Caenorhabditis elegans: one gene and its partners. The protein of the gene in region 3 purifies or fractionates together with the protein of the main gene of each other region. This does not show direct contact. Each region holds a gene or a part of one and is shown on either strand. Other genes may lie near its edges.

Region 1 (8,121 bases), on a different chromosome or scaffold from region 3:
GTGTACTAATTTTGAATCGAAAATGAAATCATCCGTGCATTCTGTGCTTATCTAGAGCACAGCTAAGACTGATATCATGTTCGGAACATTTTTTGAACGGGTCTAAAACTGTTATATCGCATTGCTTTCTAATTAGAAAAAAACTATTCAAGATGTTCTAATACACCAACTTCCGTGTTGTTTTTACTATACGATTGTAGCGCTTACCAAATGCATATAAAATATTCTTCTGACTATTTTTGTATTTATTATCTTTTACATTTTATATTCTCTCTTGAGAAACCGCTATTAGTTTTATGTATCAGATATCTCGTTTCACACATATTTACCAGACTAACAATTATGAACATATCCGTTACCGCATTTCTTTCAATTTCCTTGTGTTTCTAATCAACATACGTATCAGCGAGAAGCCGACATAGGATGGGGAATTGGCTCTCTATGTCTTCTTTTTCTTTTATTGGAAATGGAGGGGTGGTTGTAGAAAATTGGCAGTTTTTTTTGGAAGAAAAGAGAAGTTTTGTTTCTTTTTTTGGCACAACACCATCTGGTAGTCCAAGTACATAACTTTGTGACTAAACTTTGGAGACTAAACAAAATTTAAAGCTTTTAATCCAAATTAGCTAAGATACGACATTTATTAGGATTAAAATCGAACTGTGGTCTTTCTTAAATGTTCGGCAAGCAGTCATGACAAAGATTAAAACATAAATGTCTACACCCGAAATGCATGACAATTTCAATTCCATCTTTAATCCGTTAAATGCTTCCTCTTGTCATTCTCCCCTGCCATCCACCCAAACGACTTTCGATCCATTTTTTCTTGGATGTCAAGGGTTTCAGTCCCTTGTTTCCAATTTCCCGTGCCCTTTCTCTCACTGATTTTTTTCTTCATTTTTTCGCCCATTTCTCCAGATGTCTTTCTCTCGGGATTCACAACGACAACGACGATAAAACATCTAACGCTTTGGTCGATAAAGGCTGTAAGCACGGAGAGTGCTATTAAGCAAGAAGAGATTCATCTCTTGTCAGCTCTCACTAGTGAATACCTACAAATACCTACTAATTAGCTTCTCAATTCATACAAGATGATGCGAAGGTTATTTCTCCGAAGTTATACTTTTGGTGAGTGATGTAAATAAATATATAAGTAATTTCTTCAAATTTATATTCCTTTTGGAAATTTATTCATAAATTCATCTCTCCTCAAAATATATGTCACATCTCAATGCGCATTCAATTAGAGCTCTTCTCTTTTTCAATCATACACTTGCATGTATAGGTATCTCAAAACTCCTCCTCGTTGTCAGATTCTCTACTTCTCACAGACTATTTCGCGACCAAATTTCCTGATTTCATTCTACGCCCTCAGACAGGAAAGACAAAGCACTCATATTTTTTGTTAGTCTTAAATCTCGCAGCAGGTGTATTGCAAATGATTTCATATAAAAAGTGATGTTTCGAGTATTTCCATGGTCCGGATCATATTCTAGTAGTGCTGGTAAGTCTGTGTTCTGATTACATGTTCTGCTAAACCTAATATTATCAAAAATAAAATAGCAAGTGTGAAATTTTCGAGAAGTTTCAAAAATACTTTCGTATATACACAAGAATTCTTATTTTTGATTGAAGTCTGGAAGTCATATGTATTTCATATTTTCTCATAACACTATTTTCAAATAACATTCGCCAAAAGATAACATAATTACCGTTGCTGGAAAAGTAGGCAAAATTTAGCAAATTTTATCATTGAAAAAACTCGAAAAAGCAGAAGAAACAAAGAAAGATACTTGGAATTATCATATTACAACGAGTTTTCAAGTTCTTCTAATTGTATTTTATTTTTATTTCTAGTGAGGGAGAATAATTATAGCTCGAGAAGATCTAGATTCATGTGTTTAATTTTGTCGTTTCTTTTCATTTCTCTTGGTTTTCTTAAAAAATAAGGAAGCATATGGCGACCCAGACTCTTTTCTCCAGTGGCGACCCAGACTCTTTTCTAAAATTTCCACTTGGCATGTAATCGGAAACCTAGCAACACAAGTTTTCCTGTTGCTTCGCCTTCTGAATGCTTTTCCATGGGCACCCATTCAAATACTTCTTCTCTCACGCCCGTCTCACTCGTTCGTCCTGCGTCTCCAAACTTTTCTCCTGTCCCCATTCATCTCTGCACTTGCCCATTTCCCTTTGCACACCGAAATCTACATAACATTATATAGCACCACCAACACCAGAGTCGTCCGTTATACTTGTTCGTCATTTTATCATCGGACAAAAACGAGCGAATTGCACACGAAAAACGCGGGCTTTCTGACATACAAAAGTGCGCGCTCTTCCCTCCCGTTCCTATACTTGAAGCCTCTGATAGAGTCCGTCGCTATTGGATTTATGTTCTCTATTTTCAATATGCATTTCGAAGCTTAGTTGGTTGAAACGAAGCAATAAGCCAAGTTATTTAATTCATACAGTAAATGGGTAAGACTGAGAAACATTTGAGTTGAAATCTAGTATTCTACATTTATTTGGACGTATCAATTTCTTTTAGATGCCAACACTCCCTCTGCATCTGGAGGTGATCCAAAATCAGGAGATTCTTCAAGTGAGAAGCAATCACATCAAACTCCTACTCGACACCCTCCATGGCTCCGTTCTTCCTCTCAACCTGCCACGTGGCGTAACAGCGCCTCATGTAAGCCTCTAATCCTTCCCCGACTTAATCCTATTGTTCTGACACCCATTACACTTCATTTCAGTCAACGAGATCAGTGACGGCAATTGGACATACTGCATTGAAACGCAAAATACTGCGTAAGTGATTACTTTTTTTTCATCATTCATTGAACATATGATATTTAGCCCTGCTGTAAAAGGATTTGGGAATGTTCCAATTGTCAGTTACGACGTTATTGAAGCTATGGGTGATAGAAAACTGAAAGTATGTACCGTGACATGGAACATTAACGAAAAAGGTGTGAAAATATTGAGCCATCTCGCTCAGAAAATAGCAGAACGAGGACAAGAAATGGATAGTGATATATTTTTCATCTCATTGCAAGAAATACCTTCCACAGCACCGTTAGTTCCGAAAACTATTAATTTTCGATTAACTAAAATCAGTTTCAGAACTTTTCATGAAGAAGCATTACGAATTCTTGAGCCAGTTCTCAATGGTCATCGTCTGTACCTTTCACATAGAGCCTGGAGTCAAATGGTAATAGTCTTCATTCGACAGAAACATCTTCGATATGCAATCCGTGAGTTCAGATCTTATAATCTAGAATCTAATAGTTTAAAATTTCTAGAACCACAAGTATCATTTATCGCATCTGGTGCAATGGCAAAACCAGTTCGAACGAAAGGTGCAATCGCGGTATGTCTTCGTTTATATCAGCGATTTATAGTGCTTATCGGATGTCATTTATCACGTGAGTGGTCCCTTACATTGTTAGACTAATGATGAGAACACAAAAATGTTATATTCTTACAGATGCAACACCACAACAACGTATCCAAGACTACGCTAAAGTGGTCCGCACTCTTCGTTTTCCTCAGCTTGCCAGATTTCATGCACATGCAAAAGACGAAATTTTTGGTTCTGACGTAAGCGCCTCTGAAGGGCGACACTTCCTCCATAAATCATTTTCAGGTGGTGCTTTGGATTGGAGATTTGAATTTCCGGGTTACTGTAGAGAGCAATGTAGACTGGAGAGATCCGGAAAAGATTACAGAGAAAACATTTAGAGATGTTTTTGAAACAGAAGAGCTTGCCAGTCATAGGAAAAAGCAATTAGCATTCACAGATTTCAAGGAAGCTCCAATTAAATTCCCTCCAACACATAAATTCGAGCCAGACACAGACAATTATGTGCCAAAAAGGATTCCGTCTTTTACTGTGAGTAATTTCTGATTACAAACATTGCTAAGACTTCAATATTTTAGGACCGCGTTCTCTTTTGGGTAAGAAACTCGGAATGGCTCCAAAACATTCAGTACGATTGTATGAGAGGAACAACACCGTCGGATCATAAGGCAGTTTTTGCCACTTTTTGGTTAGCTTTTTTTAAACCTAGCAATAGAGTATGGTTAATTGGAAAATGATTAAAAACCATTAATATTGTATTTAAATTACCAAAAATAATATTAAATATATTCAAAAAATTTTGTAAAATTTTTGTATTTCGAGTCAAAAAGCGGTGCGAACTCAGTTTTCACCAATTTTTTTGGAAGTAGTGTACCAAAAAATTTATTTTGGTTTTATGTTATAATTATGTTTTAAATATTCATGTTAATTTAGCGAAGAGTTTTATTTTGATATTTGGTCATTTTAGCATCATAGGAATGGTTTTTAATCATTTTTCCAATTAACCTTACTTTTAATTGTTCACTATTTACTGGTTAATCATTTTTCTAGGCTAACTGTGATCAATAAGCCGGTTCCTGAACATTACAAGCAACAAAAGTCGCTGGAAAGAGAAATATCAATGAAAACCAACTCGGTGGATGCAAGTGGACCAGTGAACTAATATTAATCTAAAAAAGCATATTTCCAAACATTTGGTTTAATCTGGTCATTAAATCCCTGTTATTGTATTTTTAAATAAATTACCGTATACCTCAACTCTTTGCAAACAATTCAAAATACAAATTCATACCTTCTTCTCCTCCGGAAACTCCACAGCCGACGAACATGATCCCCTTTGCGGCGAGTTGCTCGGAGCGTCTCTGAAAATAATTGTTGTTTGTCAGTTCACAATCGATTCACTATATTACATATTTATTTTATTTTTAGAGAGAAAAGTCTAATGAATAAAATAAATAAATATTTAGAAAAAAACAAAAACTTACGTTTGAATCAGTGTATTCAGAATTTCCTCCATCAATGATAATATCACCTTCCTCAAGATGCGGAACAATTGCATCGATCATCATATCGACAGGAGTTCCGGCTTTAATGAGCATCATGACACGACGTGGTCTTTTCAATTTCTTGCACATTTCCTCAATTGAATGAGCTCCAATAATCTTAGTTCCTTTAGCTTCATTGGCAAGAAAATCGTCGACCAATTTGACAGTTCTGTTGAAGGCGCAAACAGTGAATCCGTGATCATTCATGTTCAGAATAAGATTTTGACCCATAACGGCCAATCCGATGACGGCAATATCAGCTTCGGCCATTTTAATTTCTGGAAAAAGCCATTGAAAATTAAAAAAAAGGATTTTAAGAGTGACGGAGAGAAGAAAAATATAGATTGCGGTTACAAAATTGATTTTTAAAAGTCTCTTATGGCGTAAATGACCAATTTATTTCAGAAAACAATTCTCATGTGTGAAATTTTGATCAAAATGGTTCAATTTCGGGAAACATCAATGAAACAATGATGATAATGTTTCGAAAAAAGTGATGCCAGAAAGGATTTTTTCATTACTCAGAATTTATAAATTTGATGTGAACGTTTTTGGATAATTCGGGGAAAGTTGTAAAAACGTGAGAGACGACTTTGATTAGTTTTTTGTGAGGAGGCGCCTCCCGCTCTTTACTTCATTTTTGGACAAACAATCAATGTCATCATCATTATTTTGTGGCCTACTCCACTCAACTTCCATCGCTTATTTATATATTGACTAGTGGAGGCGATTTGTTTTGTTTATAGGCCGTGTAATTATTATTATAACAATAATTGGGTACAGTTAGAAAAACTGAACTGGTTGACGGAAAGTGCACAGAAAAAAGAAAAACGAGGAAACCAGATAAGCAAAGAGACGGAGACAGATTTCTGCAGTGAATAAGAGATTGGGGGAAATTTGTGACTATCTTGTAGACCACACTCGGAGTTCTGTGAGATGTTATCTTTCTAGAAAATTGACCTCAATAGGTTTTCGAAAAGAAAAATTTCAAAATATTTCAAGGATAAGGATTCAAGTATTTCCTGAATTCAAAAATTGAACGCAATGATAGGAGAAAATAAGTTTCTGTTCTTTTAGAACGAGTGCCGACGAATGCCGACGAATGAACAAAAAACAAAGTGGTGTTTGGCATTGAATTACTTTTTTTTCTCCCCTGCACTCTTGTTACTTTTAGGCTACGACGCAAACAAAAAATGCCGGAGGTTTTGTCACCTTTTTTCAAAATTTTACAAGAAACGATGACAATTCGATCTTCTCGAGGTGTTTTGTTTTCGCTCAGGATTGAAAGCGTCGAATATGATGAGAAAATTGGAGGTTCAGAGAACAAATTGCATTGTAAAACGGGAATCAGAGTACATTTAATTTATGTAAACATGCGCAAGCAGGAATAAGATCCAAAGAAACACGGGAAAACTTAAAATTGAAATTGACACACTAATCTTTTAAGGTAAAAACTTTTTCTTGAGAGGTCCGCAAACTCGCTCTATTGGGCTACGGCGGTAATTCGAACTGAATTCTCTACATTAATTTTTAGTTTCTTTTTTTTTAATTTAATAAGAGCGTTCATCGTTCACTCAACGATTTTTTTTCTCCTTACGTCCTCATTCTCCTATATTCTCACAAAACACATCTCTGCCGTCGTTTCGCTGCCTACACTGCCTTTGTCTCGTTGTCTGCGTCGCTGCTGACCCTGCGTTGAGCGAGTTTCTTACCATATTGATTGTCAACTTTATTTTTTTATGCAATTAATTTACCTAAATAATAAAACTAAATGGAGAACATCAGCAATGAAGAGGTCAGTTTTAGAGTTTCCTAGGTATTTATAAAAAATCCAAATTTCAGAAACAAGCTTATCAGAAGAAAATGCTCAACGTGTTGATGATTGATTTTCTGAGAAGTACAAACATTGAATTTTCTATCGTAAATCATCCAAAATTTCGAGCAATGTTCGAGCTCATCAGACCGGATATTGTTTTGCCTACAACATCAGACTTAATTGTAAGTAATTTCAAAAATGAGCTTTTCAAATACTTACTATTTTAAAGTTATACTATAAAAATAGAGAAATATCCACACATATTCATCTAAAAGTTTTATAGAAAGTGAATGTCGACAAATACGATACATTCAAACGATGGGAGCTTATGAACCCCGATGAATACGAAAATTTAGAAAAACAACGTCACGAAATGGTTCGTCAATGGATGCAAACTGATATTCTTGAATGTCGAGAATCAAACAACGAATACATGCCGAATAGCCTTTCAAATTGTTTCCAATTGAGTCAAACTTCGGTAGGCAGGGAAAGACGATCTGATGAACAGTCGGTTTTCCCAAACGAAATGGAAGAGGAGTCATCTATGGATAATGAATTTGACGCGAACAGTGAAAATTCGAATGATATGGCACAATCGAGTCCAAATGTGAACTCACAAGATATCAAATTAGAACCAATATCAGATTACGATGATGCCCCCATTGAAACAAAACCTTCATTAGAGGATCTTCAAATGCAGGAGAATTCAAATGCAGGAAATTCAACCAGCGAGAGTCAAATTATGAATAACCCTGTAACTTCTGACAGTTTTGGAACGGGACCTTCTACTTCATTGACTAATTGCAAATCGGAATTCGAATTGTTACTGAAAAAGTATAAAATAACAAGAGTGGAAGAGGAAAAGTCACTAATTGGCTCGATAGACAACGGAAAATCATCACAAAAACGTTCGAAATCGTCCATCCAACTCACAACATTTGAACATATTCCTGGATATGTCAAATGGCCGTGTCTGGTGTGTAATCAACAAATGGAAATGACCAAGGTCCGTTCAGTCAATAATACAGATGCCTACATCATGATCTACGTTTGTGTTATGAATGATAAGTACGATATGGACAAAGCAAAAGAGTTGGCTCGAATGCAAAGATTTAAATGCTGTGTATCTCATTTAGATGAATTGGTGAGTCATTGATTTGAAAATGTGCACTAAAACTTATATTTCAGTATGAAAGCGCTCTTCATTTTTTGGGAGTCGTGGATCCAGATATTGATATTCACACGGATAACGAGAAAATTGTGCAAGCTTATCATGCAGTAAAAGGCATCAAGGATTCAAGATTTGTGCAGAAACTAGTATTCGAGGGTAGCAGGAAGCATATTGTGCCCTTCTGCAATACATTGAAGAACTTTTTCCAAAAGTATGCGCGGAAAAATTA
Region 2 (8,387 bases), on a different chromosome or scaffold from region 3:
TGGAAATTTACCAGTCTAAGTAACTTGTATAAAATGCATTTGATACCAGACACAGAGAAAGCTGAAATTTTTATTTTCTAGACTAAATACTGAATCAAATGATGATCATCACAAGACAAAAACGAATAGAATCACAATACGAATTTTTGCGGGATAAATTTAACAAACATTTGCACAGGTTCAGATTTTGTGAGATATAAAATTTTAAGACACGAAACTCGCCATGGTACAAGAATAAATGGGATTTTTCACTGGCGCTGTTTATTCTTCTTTTTCTGCTTCTTTTTCTTTTTAAGGGGCTCTACTACCTTCTCGGTCTTTGCCACGAACTGTTTCTTCTTCCCATCCTCGTCTGATTGTGCCTTCTCATGAGCCAATGATGATACTACCCCGTCGTCGCGTGCAAACATTGTCGGTTCTGGTTCATCGACAACAGCCTTCACCTCCTCTTTCTCATCAAGAAAAAATTCTTTGAGAGTTAATGGCAGTTCTTTCCAGCGGTAATAGTCTGCAAAAAAAACAATAAAATATTTTAACAATTATCGAAACGTACCTTTGCAGAGGCTATATGAATACTTAACAGCTTCACGGCTTGCATCAACGTGTTTTGTGAGATCAGGAATCAGATAATCGGGAACGACATTCATTGCCAAGTATACCTCGAACATCAAGTGCATCCGTTTTTCGAGTTGCACGAAATGTCGATCGTCCATTCCATCCGGACACGCTTTGGAAGAAGTTTCCACAATCTCCTCATTCAGGTAGATAACGAGGTGATTGAGCAAATCACATATCTGTGCTTTCAATTCGGGATCCTCGGAACCGCGCCGAACAACATCTGTAATCGTAAATTTAATTGAGGCTGTTCTGTGCGTCTTTAATAACCTTTGATCGTGCGCTGCTGGAATTGATACCGAATAAGAGCTGCAGCTGTTGCTTCTTCGTCAACAAGTCCATTTAGAACCAAATTGGTGAACTTTCGGAGCTGAAAATACGAATTATTGCACAACTAATGGAAAAAATAAATGAACGTACATCTGTTACAGCGCTTTCTTCTGGATTATTCATTTTGCTGTTACGAGCATGAGAATTTTCTGAAAATCAGGAATTTAATTTGAGAATATAAAGTTTCAAACAAATCAGAAAAGATAAAATCGATTAAGAGACGAAGAGAGCGGAGAGAAAAACAAGTGCGTGCTGAGAGCATAAGTAACTGCAAAATGAACAAATTGCGCCGAATTATTCTGTTCTTTAAAATGAGGCACAACAGTCAAATTATAATTTGTTTGCAAAATACAGTTAATTTGTAACCACTTATTTAGTTCGAGGAACAATGAAGGATAGCTATTTAGCAGAACAGGAGAACTGAAAAATGCCGACGAAACGAAACGAAAACAAATCAATGAAATGCATTGATTATATTTTCGAAACATAAGACATAAAAATGAGCGATAATTCTCGAATTTTCAGTTGGTTTGAAATCAGACCCACTTCGTAAATGACATGGCACGAAATGTGTGACAAAAGAAATGATGAAAATGTATTTCAGAACTTTTGGCGCGTACGCGTTCGCGCGATGGTAGTTTTCGTCGCGGGACCCTGAGCCAAATTAACGCGTGCTCCTTTAACAGATACCGTAGTTAGAAAAAAACAAAAACCGAATTAAATAACCAGATGTTTGTTTTCGTTAAAATTTTCATGTCCAATCTTCATATTACAAGTACAATAAATAATCTACAATGGAATCAACTTTAAACTGGTCAAGCACTAAAATAGGGTAAAAAGGTGACTACATAAAAAGGGAGGGCAATTTTGAGAAGAAAGTACGAAAATACACAGTATTTATAGGTTAGATTGAGTGATCTACACTTGTGGGTTTCTGAAGTTGTGTCCAGCGTAAACAGCATCAGCTCCGAGTTCCTCTTCGATGCGGAGAAGCTGGTTGTACTTGGCCAAACGCTCAGAACGGCATGGAGCACCAGTCTTGATTTGTCCAGTGGCAAGTCCAACAACGAGATCAGCGATAAAAGTGTCTTCAGTCTCTCCGGATCTGTGAGAGACCATAACTCCCCATCCATTGGCACGGGAGAGCTTGGCTGCTTCGATTGACTCTGTGACGGATCCGATTTGATTAACCTGAAAAGAAACTTATGTATGAAGCAGAATAAGAAAATAACCAACCTTGAGAAGGAGGCAGTTACATGACTTCTTGTCGATGGCAGTTTGAATTCTCTTTGGATTGGTTACAGTCAAATCGTCTCCGACAAGCTGAATGGAAGTGGCACCGTGGAATTTGCCCCAGTTATCCCAATCATCCTGATCGAAAGCATCCTCAATAGAGACAACTGGATACTCCTTGATGAAAGATTGGTAGAGCTCGGTCAGTTGCTCTCCAGAGAGCCACTTGGAGGAGTCTGAAGCTGGGTTTTTGAAATCCAAATCGTACTTTCCGTCCTTGAAGAATTCCGATGCTGCGACATCCATTCCAATGGAAATCTTTCCAGTGTATCCAGCCTTGTCGATGGCAGTGTTGAGAAGGTCAAGTCCTTCCTTGTTGTCTTGAATATTTGGAGCGAAACCTCCTTCATCTCCAACAGCGGTGGCATCGAGTCCATATCTCTTCTTAATTTCAGCCTTCAAGTGGTGGTAGACTTCTGATCCCATGCGCATGGCTTCAGCGAAGCTGGAAGCTCCAACTGGAAGAATCATGAATTCTTGCATAGCGAGCTTGTTTCCAGCGTGAGATCCACCATTGATGACGTTGAAGGCTGGAACAGGGAGCACAACCTTTCCAGTTCCTGCAAGCTCGGCGATGTACTTGTAGAGTGGGAGTCCCTTGTGTACGGCTCCAGCCTTGGCGACAGCAAGTGAAACTCCGAGAATGGCGTTAGCTCCGAGGTTTCCCTTGTTTTCCGATCCATCCAAAGCCATCATGAAGTCGTCAATGTCCTTCTGTGCAGTGACATCGAATCCCTTGGCGATCAGAGCTGGAGCGATCTTCTCGTTGATGTTCGAGACGGCCTTGAGAACCCCCTTTCCGAGGTGAACAGCCTTGTCACCGTCACGAAGCTCGAGGGCCTCATGAACTCCAGTAGAAGCTCCAGATGGAACTGCGGCACGGAAGACTCCTGGAAACAAGAAATGATGTGATTTCGGAATTGCGTCATAATGTTGAAATATACTTCATGAAATTTCAGATTTGAATAAAACAAGATTAATCTTATTTTATTCAAATCTAGATTGGTTTTTCAAGTTTTGATAGAATTTATACAATGCTCGCTTACCTTTCTCAGTGAAAAGATCAACCTCAACAGTTGGGTTTCCGCGGGAGTCGTAGATTTGGCGAGCGTGGATCTTGGTGATTGGCATCCTGCAAAATGAACTATATGTTTTCAATAATCAAACAAGTATATAAAACTACGTGAGAAACGGGCACTAGTAAACAAAACAACTGAAAAGATAAAATGTTTGAGGCGAGAAGGGGTAAAGGAGTGCGAGAAGAAAAAGGCGGCGCCGTCAATAGACGGCGCAGAAAGTGGAAAGAGTGACGAAGGTCGCACGGAGGACACGAGACTCAGAGAAAATGCAGCTGGTTAGATGTGTTTGTGAGCGGCCCGAGAGCGCACGTTCAATAGAATCGCACGGACAGCCTCTTTTTCGTGGCAGTGAATAAAATTCGTTTGTAGATCTCAAAGAGACGCAGTTAAGATTCGAACTGAAGTTACAAAAAAAAGGCATTGCAGATTCACTAAGTTCTTGAACACTTCTAGATATTGAGAATTATGATTAAATTCGTCATGCCGAGAAGAAAAGAGGAGCCAATGCCTTGGGCTCGAAAACAAGTGAGGGGCCAAGGACGCCAGCAACTGCCGCTGGGGAGAAGCGACGACTTGAGCGGCTGCCTTTCGCCTAAATACGTGACTTACACGAAGTTTCAGATTGGCAAAGCATGCACTTCAGATTGGATTTGAGAAGCGAGTTACCAAATGTTTTTTATGTTCAGTGGTCAGTTTTAGAAGTGAGAAGAAGTGATAAGGTCTGATATGAGAAGAAATTGTTGATTCGGAAAATTTGCAAAACATTTCGGAAAAAACTTATTTTTGAAGAGAAACACAACTATTTTCTTTCTAACTAAAACACCTCAAAGCTTGCGTGTTGAATTTAAAGAAAAACGTTAGTTTGCACACACTATTGTTCAAAACCATTGAACAAGTCAAAATGAAACATAAAAGAAAAGTAAACATCAGTCAACGTTTTGGAAAAAAGGCACGGCAGACCCCATTACCCTGATTCAGCAGCCAAAATTTTGCAGATTGCGTGTGGAAGTCGCGGGAGCATGAAATCAACTGGCGGAAAATAAAGAAAAAGAGATAACCAAAACCTTTGTCCAGACAGATTGCTTTTCGAAGGCTGCCCGCCACCTCGAATGAGCGAAGTGAGCGAGTGAGCTGCCGAGGTGAATGGAACAAACATTTTAAATCAAAAACTGAAATAACTTGCGTAGAGCAAAACTTTAGAGGAAGATCAAAACGTGAAGAGGTCAAAAATATTTTTTTCAACGTCAATTTTATTTACAACAATAAAAATCGATAGATCAAACAAAAAGAAAATAGGTCTAAAAATACTAAATATGAAACTCTAATACAAAAATGAACCAAATTATTTTTTATTGTCGAATCCTAGTGAATTGCTTTGTTTTTAGGTTGTATCGTTTATCAGTGTATTTGTCCATTTGATTAGCAACTTCTGGATCCCATGGCATATTCTTGTCAGGACGAGTGTAATCAAATGTCTGAAAAATGCCGATTTTAAGTCAGCACTGAAACTTTAAAAATTACCTGATCATCATAATCGAACCATTCTTTTTTCGGTTGGAACTGTCGAAGTAGACGTTTCTGTCTCAGAGAGAGAACTTCACCACCTGATCCTGGGAATGCAGTGATTCCACCATGATACATGTGAGTGTCTTCAGGATGGAAACGTGCAGCATGCTCCATAATCGAGACGTTTTTCGGTTTGTTCTCATCGCGAGCCATTCTATAATTTATTTTAATTAATAATTCAATAAGCATCTTTAAACAAAAACTAACTCTGTATATTTTGTTACATTTTTGACAGGCGTCTGATAAAATTCGACGACGTCTGCCACTGTTTCCAAATGAAGAAGTTTTCCATTGGTTGGCCAATGTTCGATGGATTTTCCCAGCCTGTTCAACAACTCGAACTTTACAGAGTTATCTCCTTCCACAAATTTGTACTGATCCACGTTTTCAGACTTTACTCCAGCACTTCTTAGACATGATGACGCTGCTTCAAGTACTTGGTTTTTGACATCAACGCCGGGAACATAGTTTTGCGTGTATTTGAGAAAACCTCTGGCCCGGATGGCATCCGTGTCGATACGGCTCATCGTCAACAGATCATCGTCAAATTCAGTGACAGAATCAGCTGAAGCAGTAACTTGTGTGGATTCTCTAGCACGGATGCTGGGAAGCGTCTTGCGAAGGCTCTCCTGTTCTTCCAGTGTCAGCTGCTTTACTGCTTCCTTTTCCCCGGATTTTCCAAACATTCCTTTCAACAAGTTACCTTGCGATCGGACAAGCCTCGGAAAACTCCTGTGCATCTTTTGGCAGTTCTAAATTTTTTCTTTTAAGCTTTTTCTTTTCTCTTTAATCAGAAATATAAAAAATCAGATAAAAACTGGAATAAAATACATTTCAAATATTGTACCTTTTGTAAATCGCACTCCATTCATTTTAAAAGGAAAACAAATCAACAAGCAAAAACACGCGGTATTCTCGAATATTAAATTGAAAACGGGGGCATATAAAAACGGTAGGCAGAAGCAACAGAAAGTGTATCAAATTCCATCAAAAATAAGAATGAAGGGGACGAAAAAAAACGAGATACGATTGTGTTGAAGCACTCGATTAAAAGCTGAAAAAGGGAGAATAAAGTTGAAGATCTTTTAACAGTCTGGCGAACAATTTGATTAGCATGGTCGGTTATCTTGAGCACGGGCACGTGGAGCTGCCTTGATGATATCGTCGACGCGAAGAATTTGTTCCGTGGCTTCAGCGGCGGAAGAAACCATGCACAACTTCACATTGTAAGACTCAATAACGCCCAATTTCGTAACATCAGCAACCTCTCCTTTCTCGATGTCTGAAAGATAATTTTGTATAATGGTTAGATTTCCAAATGAACAAACCGATTCCCATATTGTGACGTCCATTGGCGTGCTCTGCACGGAGTCTTGTGACAAGTTCAGCCGAGTCAAGTCCAGCATTGTCGCAAATGATGGTTGGCAATTGAGCAAGGGCTCTTCCGAAGGCTTCAACGGCAAGGGCTTCCTTACCCGCAACCTTTTGAGCTTCGACGGCGATGGCTGAACTCATCAAAATTTCGCTCGCTCCAGCTCCGGCAACAGTCTTTGATTCTTTCACGTGAGTAACGAGAACACAAAGGGCATCATGGAGGGATCTTTCGGACTCATCAAGAATCTGCTGAGTTGCTCCACGAAGAACGACTGAGCAAGCTTCACCCAATTTGACTCCCGAGAACCGAAGAAGTCTATCTTCTCCAATCATAATCTCTTCAATCAGATCACAAGATCCGAATTGAGCAGTTTGTGGTGAATCAAATGTGGAAACAATTTCTCCTCCGAGAACAAGAGCAAGCCTCTCGATTCCTTCAAAATCGGCGTGTTCAATAGCCATAACCTTAGCATCGGCAAAAAGTTGCTCTGGGTAGTTGTAGATCAACTGACGGTTGATGAAGACATTACAGTTATGGGCCAGAATTTTGTCAACTTTTTCTTTCATCTTCAATTTCTCAGCAGCTTCGAGTTCAGCAACCTTGGCAACACCATCTACTCTCACTCTTGATCCGAAAACTTTCACTTTGTCAGTGTCCATTGGTGTGTTGGCAATGAGAATCTTTGCTTTCTCAACTCTTCTTGGTTGGAACATTCCAGGGAGTTTTTCGAGAAGGAAACCCTCGTCGAGATAAGATTCATTCATGGATCCTCCGAGCTTCTTGATAATTTGAATGGCATCCAAATTTCCAGATCCCTTGAGTCTCAAAACTGCATCAACGGCGAGTTGAGCAAAGTGCTCTTTGTGTTGACTGAGAATCTTAGATCCAAGAGTAGTACGGGCAATCTTCAAAAGATCATCACGAATATTATCTCCGGATTCAATGCTGGACTTTTTCAAGGATTCTTGAGCAATCCCGAGAGCACGTCTATATCCAGAAATGATCGTCTGTGGATGAATACGTTGATTGACAAGTTTCTCGGCTTCTTTGAGGAGCTCTGCGGCCAGGACAGTTACTGAAGTAGTACCATCTCCAACTTCGTGATCCTGTGTCATTGACATATCTGAAAGATGCAAAACGTTTGTAAAAGTAAAAACAAAATTCAGTGAATGAGCACTTACCAACAAGAACCTTAGCAGCTGGATTGTCAACACCGATTGACTTCAGGATCGTTGCTCCATCGTTGGTAACTTTGATTCCTCCTGCGCTTTCTGGGTTTCCACTGATGAGAATTTTGTCCTAAAATTAATATTTAATTTTGATTAACAATCAAAACGCTCTTACCATTCCCTTTGGTCCAAGAGTAGACTTGACAAGATCTCCGATGGCGATTGCACCCACGAATGAGCTGAGACGAGCGCTCTCTCCTCGTTCCTCTTGAGCATTGTCCTTTAAAATTTGGACTGGAAGCATCTTGCTGAAATACGAAACATGAAAAAAAAACCCAGAAAGTTTGAATGTACAATTAATCCAAGAACGTCTAAAATAAACATTTGTGTGAATGATAGATTTAAAAAACGCCTAATTCAATGGCCTATAGTGCATGAGGAAGGTGAGTTTTATGATTTCACAAAGAAATATAAAATTGGAAAATTTTTAACATTGTAAAACGGTAATCAAAATGTGAAAACGAATTGAAATCTCCAGAAATTCATAGAAAACTGAGGGAAAATCCTTCTCGAAACTCAAAATATTTAAATGTCCAATGGGGCGCGTCTGCTGAACGGCCAGCGAATTTCTCGGCCACCAGTTAGAATAATATTTTTAATGGTCTGCACCCGTCTAAAATTAAACTCGTGTGTTTGGAATGGTTCGAACTCTCATTGAAATTATGAAACTTAGTAATTTTTATGTTGTTCCCTTACGAAGAAAAACTCTGTAATTTTGCGAAGTTTGAGTGGGTCTCGCCACGATCTCAGTCATGTTGGTCGCTACAGGTGCCAAATTTTACAGATCTGTTCAATTCTTGTAGAAAATGAATTATATAAAATTTCAAATTCTAAAGTGCTCAGAGAAAGCCAGGGTTTATCATAAAACATTTAGCTCCTATGTCAAATTTCCACGAACGG
Region 3 (6,929 bases):
AAATTGACCTATTATTTTGTAGTTTTACAGTTTCAACACTCACTATAACTTCCAAATTGATCTGTGATATTTTTTCGAGCAACTCCATCTTGACTTTCCACACCTATCAAACAAGTTCTGGCATTGTTAAAAGTTTCCCATCTAAACGAATTTTTTGTTAATTATTTTCAATAGATTTGTGAAAAAAAACCAGAAACTCACTTTGACAAAACCATAATAGGCTCAGAAGTGTTATTTTCAGATGGATCCAGGTACATAACTCGAATGTATCGAAAGTTGAACTCTTTGATAGATGAGGGAACACTGACAATTGCATGGAAAGTGTTTCTAAAACAGAAAATAACTGGAATTAATGTAATAAATCTTACTCTTCGTCAGTCGATTTTGTTAATGGAAATGATTTTCTGGGATTCCACTCGCCAAGGACGGGCAAACTTCCAACGACATGGATTTTTTCCCATTCTCTGACTTCTGAGCAGAAAACTTTGAAATGTGCTTTGTAGTCTTGGTCCATATAAACCAGTAATCTGAAATTTCGAAAGATTAAATTATTGAATTTCAAAATTAGAAAAGAAACAAAATTGCGAATTATTAAAACTAAGTGGGTAGAAAAAGTGGCCTACTTCCCCACCAAGGTGCGCATCGATAACGATTCAATTTTCTTATCGCAAAAACGATAATGTCATTATGGGACTGATAGTCTGGGTAGGGACAAAGAAGAAAAAGGAGCAAATGCTGGTGCTAATGCAAAAAGGAAAAAAAGTTGAATGATTATTTTTTCTTTTTTCTTCTTCAACTAGAACTTAAGATTGGGTACATGAAAAACAACGAACATTGGTAGTTTATTGTTGGCCAGTGTCAGATCGACAAAAAAAAACAAAATGAAGTTAGTGTCGTTTGTGGCAGAAAAAAAAAGAGTGCTATTATAAAATATCGAATTTCAATTTCACGTTATTTCGGCAAACTACATTTACTTGGGAGGATTTGCTTCATTTTGTTCCGAGCCCCCAAATGCTTTTTTTTTTTGGTTCTTCTTTTCTGTCACGAGCCAGTAATTTTTCTGAATCGATGAGAAGGGCAAAATGGAAGAAGAAAAAGAAATAGTGAGGAAAAAAGAAGATGGGCTCCGGGGAATTGGAAACGCACCCGCACAAAAGAGAATATAAAGAGAATAAAGAGAAAAAGAAAAACGGCGTGAAGCGAAACAAGAAAAAAACGCAGCCAGCTTTCTATGCTTCATTTCAAGTGTACCCGTAGAAGCAGGCAGACTTCGTCAGAGTCATGCGTACATCGTTTCCCGCATTTTGAGGCAAAAAATAACGTCACTAACAACAGGTTGATGGATTTTGCCACGTGACTTTGTGATATCTATTCTCGTTTTTTCCTTCATCTTTCAACTGTCTACGACAAAGAATAACGTGACCATAGGAATTTTCTGAGATTGTATAATTGCGAATGAAATATCAAATATGGAAAGGTAGATGAAAAGTAGAAGTACCCCAAAATATTATTAAATTTTTAAAATTAAATCTGGAATTTTTAGGTCTACAAATAATTATTTCTCACGAGTTTACCATTACAAAAAGTTATCCTATGAAAATATATTGTGATACATCTACTACATAAGTGACCAAAAATTGTTTCCAATAAGTTTTCTATTCAGGCTTAGAAAAGCACTAATCCTAAGCTTAATAGTTAATATTTTTTGGGACTACACAAGTATCCCAAATGACTCTGGGAAAAATGTTAGCAAAGTGACAATGTGCCGACATTTTGAGTGCACATTGCACTCTACACTGGACACTTCTCATCGCTTCTCAATTTAATGTAAACATAGAGGCTAGACGGAAACTTAATCGGGTTTGTATGACGGACAATCACAACGAAGAATATAAATGAGTGTAAACCTCGTGAAAGGTTCGAATTCAACGTTTCAAATTTGATATAGCCATTGAAAAATGCTTTCTATCCAACAACACAGTTTTAGTTACTCCAGCTAAAAGATTTATTCTTATAAAGAAAATGAGAATCAAAGTTACAATAATGTGGAATTTATTATGTTACAGATTCATTTCAGACTTAGAGAATTTGAAGCGGCTTAGGCCTTGGTAGCAATGTAGGAGATAAGGTCGACGACTCTGTTGGAGTATCCGAACTCGTTATCGTACCATGAGACGAGCTTGACAAAGTGTGGGTTGAGTGAGATGGATGCTCCGGCATCGAAGATGGAAGAGTTGGTATCGGAGACAAAGTCAGTGGAGACAACTTGATCCTCGGTGTAAGCGAGAATTCCCTTCATTGGTCCGTCAGCGGCAGCCTTGATAACCTTCTTAATGTCATCGAGGGAAGCTGGCTTCTCAAGACGAGCAGTGAGATCAACAACAGAGACATCTGGGGTTGGGACACGGAAAGCCATTCCGGTGAGCTTTCCATTGAGCTCTGGGATAACCTTGCCGACAGCCTTAGCGGCTCCAGTAGAGGCTGGGATGATGTTTTGTCCAGCTCCACGTCCGTCTCTCCAGAGCTTTCCTGATGGTCCGTCAACAGTCTTTTGGGTGGCGGTGACGGCGTGGACAGTGGTCATAAGTCCCTCAATAATTCCGAAGTTGTCATTGATGACCTTGGCAAGTGGAGCAAGGCAGTTAGTGGTGCAGGAAGCATTGGAGATGATGTGGTCGTTGGCATGATCGTACTTCTCGTGGTTGACTCCGACGACGAACATTGGAGCATCAGCAGATGGAGCAGAGATGATGACCTGAAATTTAAATATATTTATCTTGAAAAATTAAATCACTAATTTACCTTCTTGGCTCCTCCCTTCAAGTGAGCATTGGCCTTCTCGATGGTGGTGAAGACTCCGGTGGACTCAACGACATAGTCGGCTCCAGAGGCTCCCCATTGGATCTCAGCTGGGTCTCTTGAGTTGTAGACCTGAAATTGAATAGAATATTAGGTGAAATCTAATTGGAAATAATTCTACCTTGATCTTGTGCTGGGACTTTCCTTCCTTGGCGACAAGAAGGTAGTCTCCCTCGTGGGCAACGGTTCCCTTGAAGCGTCCGTGAGTGGAATCGTACTGGAACAAGTAGACCATGTAGTCGATGGAGATGAATGGATCGTTGACGGCAACAACATTGACACTGTCCTTCTCGACAGCGGCGCGGAGGACAAGACGTCCGATTCTTCCGAATCCGTTGATTCCGACACTTGGCTTGGTCATGATGCGTTGAAGCAGTTTCCCTGAATTAAAATTAGAAGTTGAAAATACAATAGAAAGAAAATTGGAAGGTATATAAACTCGCAAAAACGAGGAAATGGCAGATTCAATAAGATGAATAAATATACAACCTTTATTGAGAAGAGACCATTTATATACTTGTAAGCTTCTAGGAAAATTTTAGATACTAAAGAGAAGCATAGATTTTAAGACAAGCAGTTAACTAGGTGAAAGTAGGATGAGACAGCTTAGGCCTTGGTGGCGATGTACGAGATGAGATCAACAACTCTGTTGGAGTATCCGAACTCGTTATCGTACCACGAGACGAGCTTGACGAAGTGTGGGTTGAGTGAGATGGATGCTCCGGCATCGAAGATGGAAGAGTTGGTATCGGAGACAAAGTCGGTGGAGACAACTTGATCCTCAGTGTAAGCGAGAATTCCCTTCATTGGTCCGTCAGCGGCAGCCTTGATAACTTTCTTGATGTCATCGAGGGAAGCTGGCTTCTCAAGACGAGCAGTGAGATCAACAACAGACACATCTGGGGTTGGGACACGGAAAGCCATTCCGGTGAGCTTTCCATTGAGCTCTGGGATAACCTTTCCAACAGCCTTAGCGGCTCCAGTAGAGGCTGGGATGATGTTCTGTCCAGCTCCACGTCCGTCTCTCCAGAGCTTTCCTGATGGTCCGTCAACAGTCTTTTGGGTGGCGGTGACGGCGTGGACAGTGGTCATAAGTCCCTCAATAATTCCGAAGTTGTCATTGATGACCTTGGCAAGTGGAGCAAGGCAGTTAGTGGTGCAGGAAGCATTGGAGATGATGTGGTCGTTGGCATGATCGTACTTCTCGTGGTTGACTCCGACGACGAACATTGGAGCATCAGCAGATGGAGCAGAGATGATGACCTAAAAATTTAAATATATTTATGCACAAAAGTTGATTACAAGTTACCTTCTTGGCTCCTCCCTTCAAGTGAGCGTTGGCCTTCTCGATGGTGGTGAAGACTCCGGTGGACTCAACGACATAGTCGGCTCCAGAGGCTCCCCATTGGATTTCAGCTGGGTCTCTTGAGTTGTAGACCTGAAATTTAAGAGAATGTTTAACAAAATATGTTTGGAAAATATTCTACCTTGATCTTGTGCTGCGACTTCCCTTCCTTGGCGACAAGAAGGTAGTCTCCCTCGTGAGCAACGGTTCCCTTGAAGCGTCCGTGGGTGGAGTCGTACTGGAACAAGTAGACCATGTAGTCGATGGAGATGAATGGATCGTTGACGGCAACAACGTTGACACTGTCCTTCTCGACAGCGGCGCGGAGGACAAGACGTCCGATTCTTCCGAATCCGTTGATTCCGACACTTGGCTTTGGCATGGCTGAAAATTGATACTACTACAATCAGTTCAACTAACATACAAACGACAAATAAAAATAGAATGATCGAAATGAAAATCGAATCAAATTGAAGAGAGAAGAATATGAAGTGAAGCCATAAAAACCATGTTTACTATTTGACGAAACATGTGCAGTAAGCGAAAAAAAAATGATGCAATAGGCAAGATGAAGAAATGCGGTGTGAGAGAGAAAATAGAGAGGAGAGAATAAGTATGCATAAAAAGAAAGGGAAAATTGAAAATGATGATGCAAAAAGAACAGAGAGCCGTTTGAAAAGCCCTCTATTTTTTATGTTCCGTGTCCTTTCTCGATTTCCTTCAGTCGTTGCTGATGTTGTTCGAGAACCTGAAATGAAAGTATTGAAGAACGTTGAAAGGTAGTGGAAAACAAAAAAAAAGAGATTGTTTGTGAAAACCAATCTATCTCTTCATTATGCTCGCTAGTCGCCCGTCTCTCTAACATATCAAGGTCAACTGTGTAAAATAGAGAGATTCGAAAGGAGTCCCCGGTCTATTTTGAATCAGTTCTAGAACACGCCACTTTCGCAGATAAGAGTTTCGGCAGTGTCATGTGACACATCAAAGAATAACGAGTTAATCAACAACAATATTTTCCTGCGTGTTTTCCTTAAATGGAGTGTCTCGTACCTTTTCATGATCCCGAATTTCCTGTTGGCTTTGCGTCATATCTGCTTCAAGCTTCTTCTTGAGATTGTCCAACTGATCTTTTTGTTGTCTTCGGAAGTATTCTTCTTCTCTGGTGGCGCCCATCATGCCGAGTGATCCACCTGCTTCACGGATTGAGCCGCCGGAGCCTCCACCATGTCCAGCACCACTTCCACTTCCAGATCCTGACATCTGTTTTGATTTCCTGGAAATGAACTAACTGGATTATATGAGCATGGCTCCAAAAGTAAAGAGAAGCGAAAGAAGAAAGCTGTCAAGAAGACGTCGAAGGGAGCATGCCTTTTTTATTTCTGAGAAGAAAAAGAAGAAAAGCAGCTAACACACACACACAAGTTTGTAGCACGTAAAGTAATCTTGAGTGAGAGCGAAGGGCGAAGGTGATGCAAACAGGCCCTCCCAAAACAAATTTCACAATGCGAGTGGCGTTTCGATGGCCGGAGACCGAGGACACTGGGCCGCCCATTTCCAAACGGCAATCGATTTTGTTTTTTTTACACACACATCAATATACACGCACAAACATTAACTCACAAACACACACACACACCGCACTCTCGTGAACTGAACGCACAAAACGTGTGTGTGTGTCAGTAAACTCTGATCTAGTAGAAAATAGTGCGTGTGTTGCAGAGGATTTAGAGAAAGGGTCGAGAAGAGAGTTTCGAGCCGCCCGTGAATTGATATCATAAACAATTGAAGACTTTGAAACATTTACAACATTTGACCTTCGAGAAAAAGAAGAACGAAATAAAATATTTACTAACCTCAAAAGTCTTTGTGAGCAAGAGCAACATTGGTTTCCGGTGAGCTCCTTGAAGTCAAACTCTGTTGTGTTGTTTCCTTAGAAGGCAGGGCAGGGTCGCTGTTTTTTTAGGGGAGCCGCCGTGGCGAGGCGAACATAGAGAGTGAAGGGAGCGAGGCGGGTAGCCTCAACTGATGCATAGAGAGAAAATGGGCCAACTGCGAGTGCGACGACGGCCTAGCCAGCCGGCACGAATCGATGGAGATGCCGACGTCGCCGACACACGATTGCTGGCCGTTGGCACGTAGGCAACGGCAGTGTAGTAACAGGAAAAGAAGAGATTTGAGGAGTTGCTCTTCTTTTCGCTTGGAGCAACTCTTTTCCAACCCGAAAGTTTTCAATGATAAAATATAGAACAACACGAAGATGAAAAGGCGCAGTCGCTAGTCAATCGTTCTGAAGATCAAACTAGTGGCCGGAGTAAATGGGAGGAGTTGGAAAATAATCAACGAGAAAAGTGTTTTTCATTGACATCAAAGAATGTTTTATATCAGTTATCACTGATCACTAGTCACTAGTTTTTTCAATTTCTGAAAGAAAATCTAATTTACTAATAGACACACGATGAATCAGAATTTATTCAAATGTATCTGATCAGTTGAATACGTGAGATCTTTTATAAAAGCTAATATCAACCAAAAGTTCAAAATCACTTCGAGATCAAAACTCTAATGGCATATGTTTGAATGCACGAAGTCAATAATTCTAACAGGCGAGAGTGCTATAGTTTTCTCAAAAAGTGGCAAAAACTCAGGAATTTCCACTTTTTGACTGTCAATAACAATTTTTCAAAATTTAATGTATCATAAACGTGTAATGTAATAACTTACCAAA
Region 4 (7,393 bases), on a different chromosome or scaffold from region 3:
GAAGTAACACTCACTAAGAAGCCCGAGTCTTCTAGACGACTTTTTCCTTGGATCTGGACGTGCTTCCATTTCTTCTTCGTCAGAAGAAGATCTCATTTCATTTGTATCGTCCTCTGGAAAATCAATGGCACTGATATCATGTGCAGGCTCTTCGTTGACAGTCAGCGCATTCAATTCGATGTTCAGGGAGCGATTGCTTGAATCTGCTGCCTCATCCTCACCATCGACAATCACACCACCATTTTCAGATCTTTTTTCAATGACCTCCGTCGCCTGATCCTCCTCATCATCCTCCAAAACCATGCGAACAGCGGCTGAAGAAGTTGTAGCAGTAGTCTTCGCAGGCGTATTCTTTCGTGAAGTTTCCTCAAGCAAACGATTAGCATCTTTCATATTCATCCTTTTGACGAGTGAAGCGAAAGTAGGCTGTTCATATCGTCGTGCCGGGGTCACTCGATTCACAGAATCAACGATATCCATCCTAGTCGGTGTTGAGAGCAGTGCAGCCCGAGCACATTCGACATTGTTGGTGGGTCCAATATTACGGATAGAATTATCCGTGTGCCGAATCGATCTGGAAAATGGAGAAATAAGAATAATATTCCGCAATTCGAAAAAAAACATACTTTGGAGTTGCGGCTTTCGATACATGCATTGGCTCCACTTTTTCTGGAACTTCTGGAACCGGCGAAACTCGAGATGCATTGAATGTTGGAGAGATATAAGACGAGCCAATAGAATCCGCTTCCATTGTTCGTTCTTCAGCTACCGATTCCATCTCAATCGTTCGCTCCTTATTCGATTCAGTACTAAGTCTGCTGGTTGCCTTGATTCGTGGCGGCGTTTGAACCACCGGTCTGATCTTTTTTCGGGGATGTTTGAAGAAGTTGGCTCCCGGCGATTGAATTTCTTCCTTTTCGAGCATACTGTTGTGAAGAGGATTAGAAATACTGGCATTACGTCGTTCTCGCTCATCCGAAGTGACTTTCGACGTTCTCCGTTTTTCTCCTCCTTCCATCGTGTTTTGTGCCAGTACTGGAGGCTTCACACCAACACTCGTGGTTCCTTGCTCGTATGCATCTCTTTCTTCAATAATAAACGTCTTTTGAAGAGTTGAATCGTTATTTTCATCTCTGTTAGCTACGTTGAAAGTTCTTTGAAGTGATGACTCATCTTTCTCGGTCGGCTTTGTGAACGTTTTCTGTAGAGAGGAGTGTTCTGCATCTTTAGCCACTGTGACCGTTCCCTGCATTTCCGAGCTCTGATTCTTCTCGATCGTCACCGTTTTCTGAAGTTCTTCAGGAGCATCTTTAGCCACCGTGAAGTTTCCTTGCAGCTGAGAGCTTTGATTCTTCTCGATCGTTACCGTTCTTTGAAGCTGTGATTGCTCTTTTGATGCATCTTTAGCCACCGTAAACGTTCTTTGCATTTCCGAGCTCTGATTCTTCTCGATTGTCACCGTTTTCTGAAGTTCTTCAGGAGCATCTTCAGCCACAGTGAAGGTTTTTTGCAGCTGAGAGCTGTGATTCTTCTCAATCGTGAGAGTTTTCTGGAGTGTTGACTCTCTCTCCTCGAGAATGGTTGGGATAACGACAGACTTGGTGTGAACAGTCTGAAACGATATAAAAGTTAGTTTAAATATCTTTAAAACAAACAAATTTTACCACTCTTTCAGCATCTAGTCGATCGGTATTGACGACATGTGAAATATCAAGCGATCTCAAGGACCTCATCGACGTATCACTCGAGCTCTTGGGAGTTGAACAACTTAATCCAGCTTTTCCACTCTGAAATTATAGATTTATTAAACTATGAACACGCAAATTCATCTCATACCCCTCTGGAATTAGCAATTGGCGAGCCCATCATCGACTTTTCACTGATGTGTTTCGGAAGCGCCGGAATGGCAAAAACCGAAGCGCTTCGGACATTTTGATTCACAGTGTTCTCGCTGTCGCTCTCACATTCGGAGTATTCACGACAAGCAATCAACTCTTTGAAGGTTTTCGCTCCGTACATTTCCTTTTCGAGACGTTTTCTGGCCTGAATATAGTTTATTAGGTGTTGAAAAGATTTTGTGACTGAAATTTACATTGTTAAGCTGTGTTTGTTTCCTTTTCTCCAAAATAGCGAACATCTGCTTCTCAGATAGTCCCTGTTTTCTCCATTCTCGCTCCTCCAAATTTGCACTATCATTCATCATCGATTCATCGACGATAACTGTTGGTTCCTCCAAGTACGACGGTCTTGTATCGTCCAAGCCAGCCTCACGAAGAGCAACGATTTCAGTGATCATTTTCTGAAATAAACAAAATAAGTAAGCAATCAAATTACCATAATGTGGAACTTTTTTTTTGTAAAAATCAAACATTTGTTAAGAATTTTAAAAATCTGAATCACTTACTCGACCAGGAACAATCGTACTGCGGGTTCGCGGTTTTCGATTCATTCTGCAATTTGATATCGTTTTGAAAAAAAGACAATTTTAAGAGGTGAATAAATATAAGCAAACTTCTCGATGTCAAATGGGAGCTAAATTTGAAAGTGGCGGTTTTGCATTGTACAACGGAGCGCGTTTGGTTAGAGGGGGAAGGCTACGAGAAGAGGATAGAGGAAACGTATTTATTGTTTTCTTTTCGCATTCAAAAGGCAAGAAGGTATTATGAGCCAAATATTGATTGATTTTAAGGGAGAAAGACACAGACTTTGTATAAAATAATAGCCGAACCAAGTCAAACGCAGTTTTGAAGAGAGGCCAATCGATACGCTTTGGTGAAATAAAGAAAAATGAATAATACTTCATCGAGATCTATTTATGCTTGTTTTCACGAATTTCAACAAGGCCTCCACGTCCCTAACAGTAGAAAATACTAAACGCAGAATTTATTAGTAGTTTTCTAAATAAAATTCGTGCAATATTAGTTGAGCGGTAGCTCTTTAAAGTACATATTGATTTCAACCAAGTTCTTCGAAAGTTATTTCAAGCGCGTTTTCATTTTTTTTTCTAATGATCCGCAAGAAAATAAAATTTTAAAACGAAAAGAGAAAAATAGAATAAAATCAAAGCCTAAAAATCAGACTCTAAAAATGATTTTTCCCGCCTGTCGGTATCAAGTGTACGGTATTCGTGGTGAGACCCGCGCCCCCGCGCAAAAAATTTTGAACTTTTGCGGAGATGTTTGCACAGACAGCATTTAACTTAACGCAATTTTGCATGCTTTCTATACTTTCGAACATTTATTGAGACCCGAAGAACTCGGGGGATGTCCAATTGGGGGGATTACCAACTCGGGGGATTGGCCTCACCCACAGAACCGTGGTTTGCAATACGCCCATTTCTGCAAATGCCGCACGGTTTTAAAACTGTATTTTTCTCAATAGAGCGAGAATTAACAAGAAAAAATAATTTTAAAACCGTGCGGCAGTTGCAGAAATGGGCGTATTGCAAGCCACGGTTCTGTGGGCGGGACCAATCCCCTGGTAATCCCCCCAATTGGACATCCCCCGAGTTCTTCGGGTCTCCATTTATTTTTTGTTTTTGCCTTTTTGTCTTACAATTTTGAAGGTTTCCCTTCATCGATTTCATCCAAAATTGAGAAAAAATGTTTACAAAATGTATTATTTTCATTTCTTCCAATTTTCTAATTCAGATTTTCCCTAAAACATTTGTGATTCTTGATTTTTTACTTTTATCTATATGAGTGACGTTGTTTTGACAGCATATTTGATCAAATTTCTAGAAATGGTTTGTTTTATCACTACTGTTCATGCCTTCTTAATTTCAAATGATCTTCAAACATTTATATTTGTGTTTTCGGTTATTCTTCATGTGTTTTTTATTTGATTCGTTTCAACCCATCCAAATGCGCGGTCTCTCGCTCGATCTCTCGTCTCTCTGCGTTTCCAGTGTAAAAGAGAAAGGCGAGCAACAACTTCTATCATTTCTCACGTCGCTCGTCAAAATAGTTGTCTTGTTTGTTTCTCAATTTTAACATTCTCTCCTGTTTTGACCATCTTTGAAATTTTTGAAAATCAATATCAAACAATTTCAGCATTCAGAAAAATGAGCTCCCTCAACAAGTTGGCTATCGACCAGTTGAACCTCGCCGGAAAGCGAGTTTTGATCCGTGTTGACTTCAATGTCCCACTCAAGGATGGCAAAATCACCAACAATCAACGTATTGCTGCCGCTGTTCCAACCATTCAGGTAATCAATTCAAATTTATTTCAAACAACATTTTCAATAATATTCAAAATTTCAGCATGCTCTTAGCAACGGAGCCAAATCTGTCGTTTTAATGTCACATTTGGGACGTCCAGATGGCAGACGCCAAGACAAGTACACCTTGAAACCAGTTGCTGAAGAGTTGAAGGCTCTCTTGAAAAAGTTTGTTGTATAATCTGATTTTAAAAAAATTACAAATGATTTTCAGAGATGTTCTCTTCCTCGACGACTGTGTCGGATCAGAAGTGGAGGCTGCATGCGCCGATCCAGCTCCTGGATCAGTCATTCTCCTTGAAAATCTTCGTTATCATCTGGAAGAGGAGGGCAAAGGAGTCGATGCATCCGGTGCCAAGGTTAAGGCTGATTCAGCAGCCGTAAAGAAATTCCGCGAGTCTCTCACCAAGCTTGGCGATATTTATGTCAATGATGCTTTCGGAACCGCTCACAGAGCCCATAGCTCCATGGTTGGAGTCGAGCACTCACAACGTGCAAGTGGATTCTTGCTCAAGAACGAGCTCTCCTACTTTAGCAAGGTAATTTTTTCCTCCAATTTTTCATATTGAATTTTATTATTAAATTTTCAGGCCCTCGACAACCCAGCTCGTCCATTCCTGGCCATCCTTGGAGGAGCTAAGGTCGCTGACAAGATTCAGTTGATCAAGAACTTGTTAGACAAGGTTAATGAGATGATCATCGGCGGAGGAATGGCCTATACCTTCTTGAAAGTTGCCCAGGGAGTCAAGATCGGAAACTCTTTGTACGACGAAGAAGGAGCGAAAATTGTGAACGAGCTTCTTGAGGCTGCCAAGGCAAAGGGAGTTCAAATCCATCTCCCAGTGGATTTCGTCATTGCTGACAAGTTCGCCGAGGACGCAACCTCGAAGACCGTCACCGCCGAGGAAGGTGTTCCAGATGGCCACATGGGACTTGATGTTGGGCCGGAATCTTCTAAGATCTTCGCCGCTGCCATTCAACGCGCCAAAACGATTGTCTGGAACGGTCCAGCAGGAGTATTCGAGTTTGATAAATTCGCCACAGGCACCAAGTCATTGATGGATGAAGTTGTCAAGGCCACCGCTGCCGGAGCCATCACAATCATTGGAGGAGGTGACACTGCGACCGCCGCCAAGAAGTATAACACGGAAGATAAGGTGTCTCACGTCTCAACTGGAGGTGGAGCCAGTTTGGAATTGCTCGAAGGAAAAGTTCTGCCAGGAGTTGATGCTCTTTCGCCAGCTCAATAATTTTCTAATTTCTATTGTTTATTCCTTGCCCAATAGTGTATTTGTATTTATTCTTTCTCTCTCTAAAAACTTTCCCACATTAGTCTTGAATTGTTCCCAGTGATTTCACAATCTTCCATGTAACATGAAGTATAAATAAAGTGTATAACTATAGAATAAATTAAGAGTTCACTTAATCGTAGAGTTTTTTAATCGTAGAGTTCCGTATATCTACCAATACATTATAGTCATTTTCCAATTGAAAAAAAAAGAAAAGAAATCAGATGTCTGCTCAAAAGCTATACGCATCGCATGTTCCCTTGGCACCGCTGTCTCGGATGCTTCTCGGGATTGGATCAGCAGTAACAGCGATCTCGGATCCAAAAAGAGGAGATATGGTGGCAGCGATGGGCGAAACTACTGCAATTGGACCAGTTTTAGAAAATATTCGAAAAAGAATGGAATCTGATGTTGTTGGAAAGCGACTTCTTCTCGAAAAACCAAGAATTTCAAATGGAACAATTGATAGAAAGTGGCTAAGACAGTTACCGGATGGAACATTAGGAAAATTGTATTCAAAGTATGTGAAAGTATATTAAACAACAAAAAAAAATTGAAAAACTTCAATTTTCAGCTTTCTCGATCGTTTGAACACATCTCCAGATGCTCGGCCCACTGTCAAGTATATCGATAATTTGGAGCATCTTTATGTTATGCAAAGGTTTTAAAAATCGACGTAAATAACAAAAAAATTCAAAATTTCAGGTATCGCGAAACACACGACTTCACCCACATCGCATTGGAGCAGAAAACGAACATGCTCGGCGAGGTAACAGTCAAATATTTCGAAGGAATTCAATATGGGCTTCCAATGTGTGTCACTGGTGGAATATTTGGAGGTGCCAGGCTTTTAACAAAGTAAGCAGAAAGAGAGACGAAACCATGAAAATAAAATTTAAAAATTCTAGAAATCGCCAAGAACTTGTCGACCGGAACCTCCCTTGGGTTGTGGAGCAGGCCACGAATGCACGATTCTTCATGGCTTTCGACTGGGAAAATCACTTTGAAAAGCAGCTCAGCGAGGTGCAGAAGGAGCTAAATATAACGCCATTATCTGTGAATATGTGATATAGATTTGATCTTGAATTTCTCAGTGATAATGAAAAAATGAATTAATTAATTTTTTTGGACCGGACATTAAATTTGAAAAATTTGGACCATTTAACAGTTACGGTATTACGATAACACTTAAATTCTGAGAATGCGTATTGCACAAAATATTTGACGAGCAAAATACTATCAAAATTTATGAATCGATCCTTCGATTTTGCAAAAATCGAAGGATCGATTCATAAATTTTGATAGTATCCCGTAGCGAAAACTACAGTAATTCTTAAAACTACTACTGTATCGCTTGTGTCGATTTTCGAAATGGATTTAAATATCGATAGAATACTAGAATTAAGCAAATATTAAGAAAATAATACGAAGCAACGCATTTTTTAATTTCGAAAATATTTCTAAATCGATACAAGCGCTACAGTAGTCATTTAAAGAATTACTGTAGTTTTCGCTACGGGATACTTTGCGTGTCAAATATGCTGCGGAATACGCATTCTCAGAATTTTGTGTTTACCGTAATACCAAAACGTTCTGCGACTGGCAGTTTAGTCAATTTCTTTGGATTTTGATAATTGTGTGATTTGTGAGAAAGGATTTATTGTACATGAAACTGAAAAAATGGAAAGAAACCGGTAATAGAGGCAAACGGGCAAGTTTTGGATGAGGAACGACGGGGGAATTGTGGAAAAATAAGCGAACTTCTCAATTATCGAATTTCAGGAGCTTCTGGACCTCCCGGAAATGGAACCGGATGTCCCTGATATTCTCTTCAGTAAAGGACATCCGGGATTTTGGAGAGTCCTCCAGGCGGTTGATATGATGA

The links.
Region 1: the proteins of gpd-3 (region 3) and T25B9.9 fractionate together in Caenorhabditis elegans (co-fractionation; one large-scale study listed by BioGRID). This does not show direct contact.
Region 2: the proteins of gpd-3 (region 3) and enol-1 fractionate together in Caenorhabditis elegans (co-fractionation; one large-scale study listed by BioGRID). This does not show direct contact.
Region 4: the proteins of gpd-3 (region 3) and pgk-1 fractionate together in Caenorhabditis elegans (co-fractionation; one large-scale study listed by BioGRID). This does not show direct contact.

Annotation. Positions count from the first base shown.
Region 1 is NC_003282.8:10,766,715-10,774,835, reverse strand, and holds the start of T25B9.9 (6-phosphogluconate dehydrogenase, decarboxylating), read right to left. Parts: upstream 5,184-8,121; 5' UTR 5,176-5,183; coding exon 4,846-5,175; intron 4,723-4,845; coding exon 4,653-4,722; intron 4,619-4,652; exon of another isoform or gene 4,524-4,618; coding exon of another isoform or gene 4,412-4,523; intron 4,050-4,411; coding exon of another isoform or gene 3,940-4,049; intron 3,893-3,939; coding exon of another isoform or gene 3,647-3,892; intron 3,601-3,646; coding exon of another isoform or gene 3,488-3,600; intron 3,426-3,487; coding exon of another isoform or gene 3,303-3,425; intron 3,255-3,302; coding exon of another isoform or gene 3,124-3,254; intron 3,076-3,123; coding exon of another isoform or gene 2,857-3,075; intron 2,809-2,856; coding exon of another isoform or gene 2,754-2,808; intron 2,690-2,753; coding exon of another isoform or gene 2,546-2,689; intron 2,476-2,545; coding exon of another isoform or gene 2,472-2,475; exon of another isoform or gene 2,089-2,471; intron 1,502-2,088; coding exon of another isoform or gene 1,456-1,501; exon of another isoform or gene 1,390-1,455; intron 1,126-1,389; coding exon of another isoform or gene 1,089-1,125; exon of another isoform or gene 925-1,088; intron 1-924. Other genes in the region: inpp-1 (Inositol polyphosphate-related phosphatase domain-containing protein), read left to right, coding at 1,456-1,501, 2,546-2,689, 2,754-2,808, 2,857-3,075, 3,124-3,254, 3,303-3,425, 3,488-3,600, 3,647-3,892 and 2 more; T25B9.8 (Lin-15A/B-like domain-containing protein), read left to right, coding at 6,677-6,700, 6,748-6,903, 7,005-7,865, 7,910-8,121. UniProt on the Caenorhabditis elegans protein: Catalyzes the oxidative decarboxylation of 6-phosphogluconate to ribulose 5-phosphate and CO(2), with concomitant reduction of NADP to NADPH.
Region 2 is NC_003280.10:8,927,089-8,935,475, reverse strand, and holds enol-1 (Enolase), read right to left. Parts: upstream 4,474-8,387; coding exon 4,382-4,473; intron 3,371-4,381; coding exon 3,285-3,370; intron 3,129-3,284; coding exon 2,182-3,128; intron 2,137-2,181; coding exon 1,864-2,136; downstream 1-1,863. Other genes in the region: T21B10.3 (Edg1 TPR repeats region domain-containing protein), read right to left, coding at 309-508, 554-838, 886-985, 1,036-1,068; mrpl-50 (Large ribosomal subunit protein mL50), read right to left, coding at 4,667-4,792, 4,839-5,037, 5,091-5,623; cct-2 (T-complex protein 1 subunit beta), read right to left, coding at 5,993-6,165, 6,212-7,381, 7,440-7,557, 7,603-7,731.
Region 3 is NC_003284.9:3,110,102-3,117,030, forward strand, and holds gpd-3 (Glyceraldehyde-3-phosphate dehydrogenase 3), read right to left. Parts: upstream 3,241-6,929; 5' UTR 3,221-3,240; coding exon 2,981-3,220; intron 2,932-2,980; coding exon 2,803-2,931; intron 2,756-2,802; coding exon 2,099-2,755; 3' UTR 1,990-2,098; downstream 1-1,989. Other genes in the region: gpcp-1 (Putative glycerophosphocholine phosphodiesterase GPCPD1 homolog 1), read right to left, coding at 44-141, 202-327, 369-514; gpd-2 (Glyceraldehyde-3-phosphate dehydrogenase 2), read right to left, coding at 3,466-4,122, 4,169-4,297, 4,347-4,586; mai-1 (ATPase inhibitor mai-1, mitochondrial), read right to left, coding at 4,896-4,952, 5,255-5,464.
Region 4 is NC_003279.8:3,863,489-3,870,881, forward strand, and holds pgk-1 (putative phosphoglycerate kinase), read left to right. Parts: upstream 1-4,052; 5' UTR 4,053-4,063; coding exon 4,064-4,207; intron 4,208-4,262; coding exon 4,263-4,387; intron 4,388-4,433; coding exon 4,434-4,758; intron 4,759-4,809; coding exon 4,810-5,469; 3' UTR 5,470-5,621; downstream 5,622-7,393. Other genes in the region: hcp-4 (HoloCentric chromosome binding Protein), read right to left, coding at 15-574, 627-1,612, 1,665-1,787, 1,837-2,043, 2,093-2,299, 2,405-2,449; coq-4 (Ubiquinone biosynthesis protein coq-4, mitochondrial), read left to right, coding at 5,733-6,028, 6,083-6,169, 6,214-6,366, 6,417-6,576.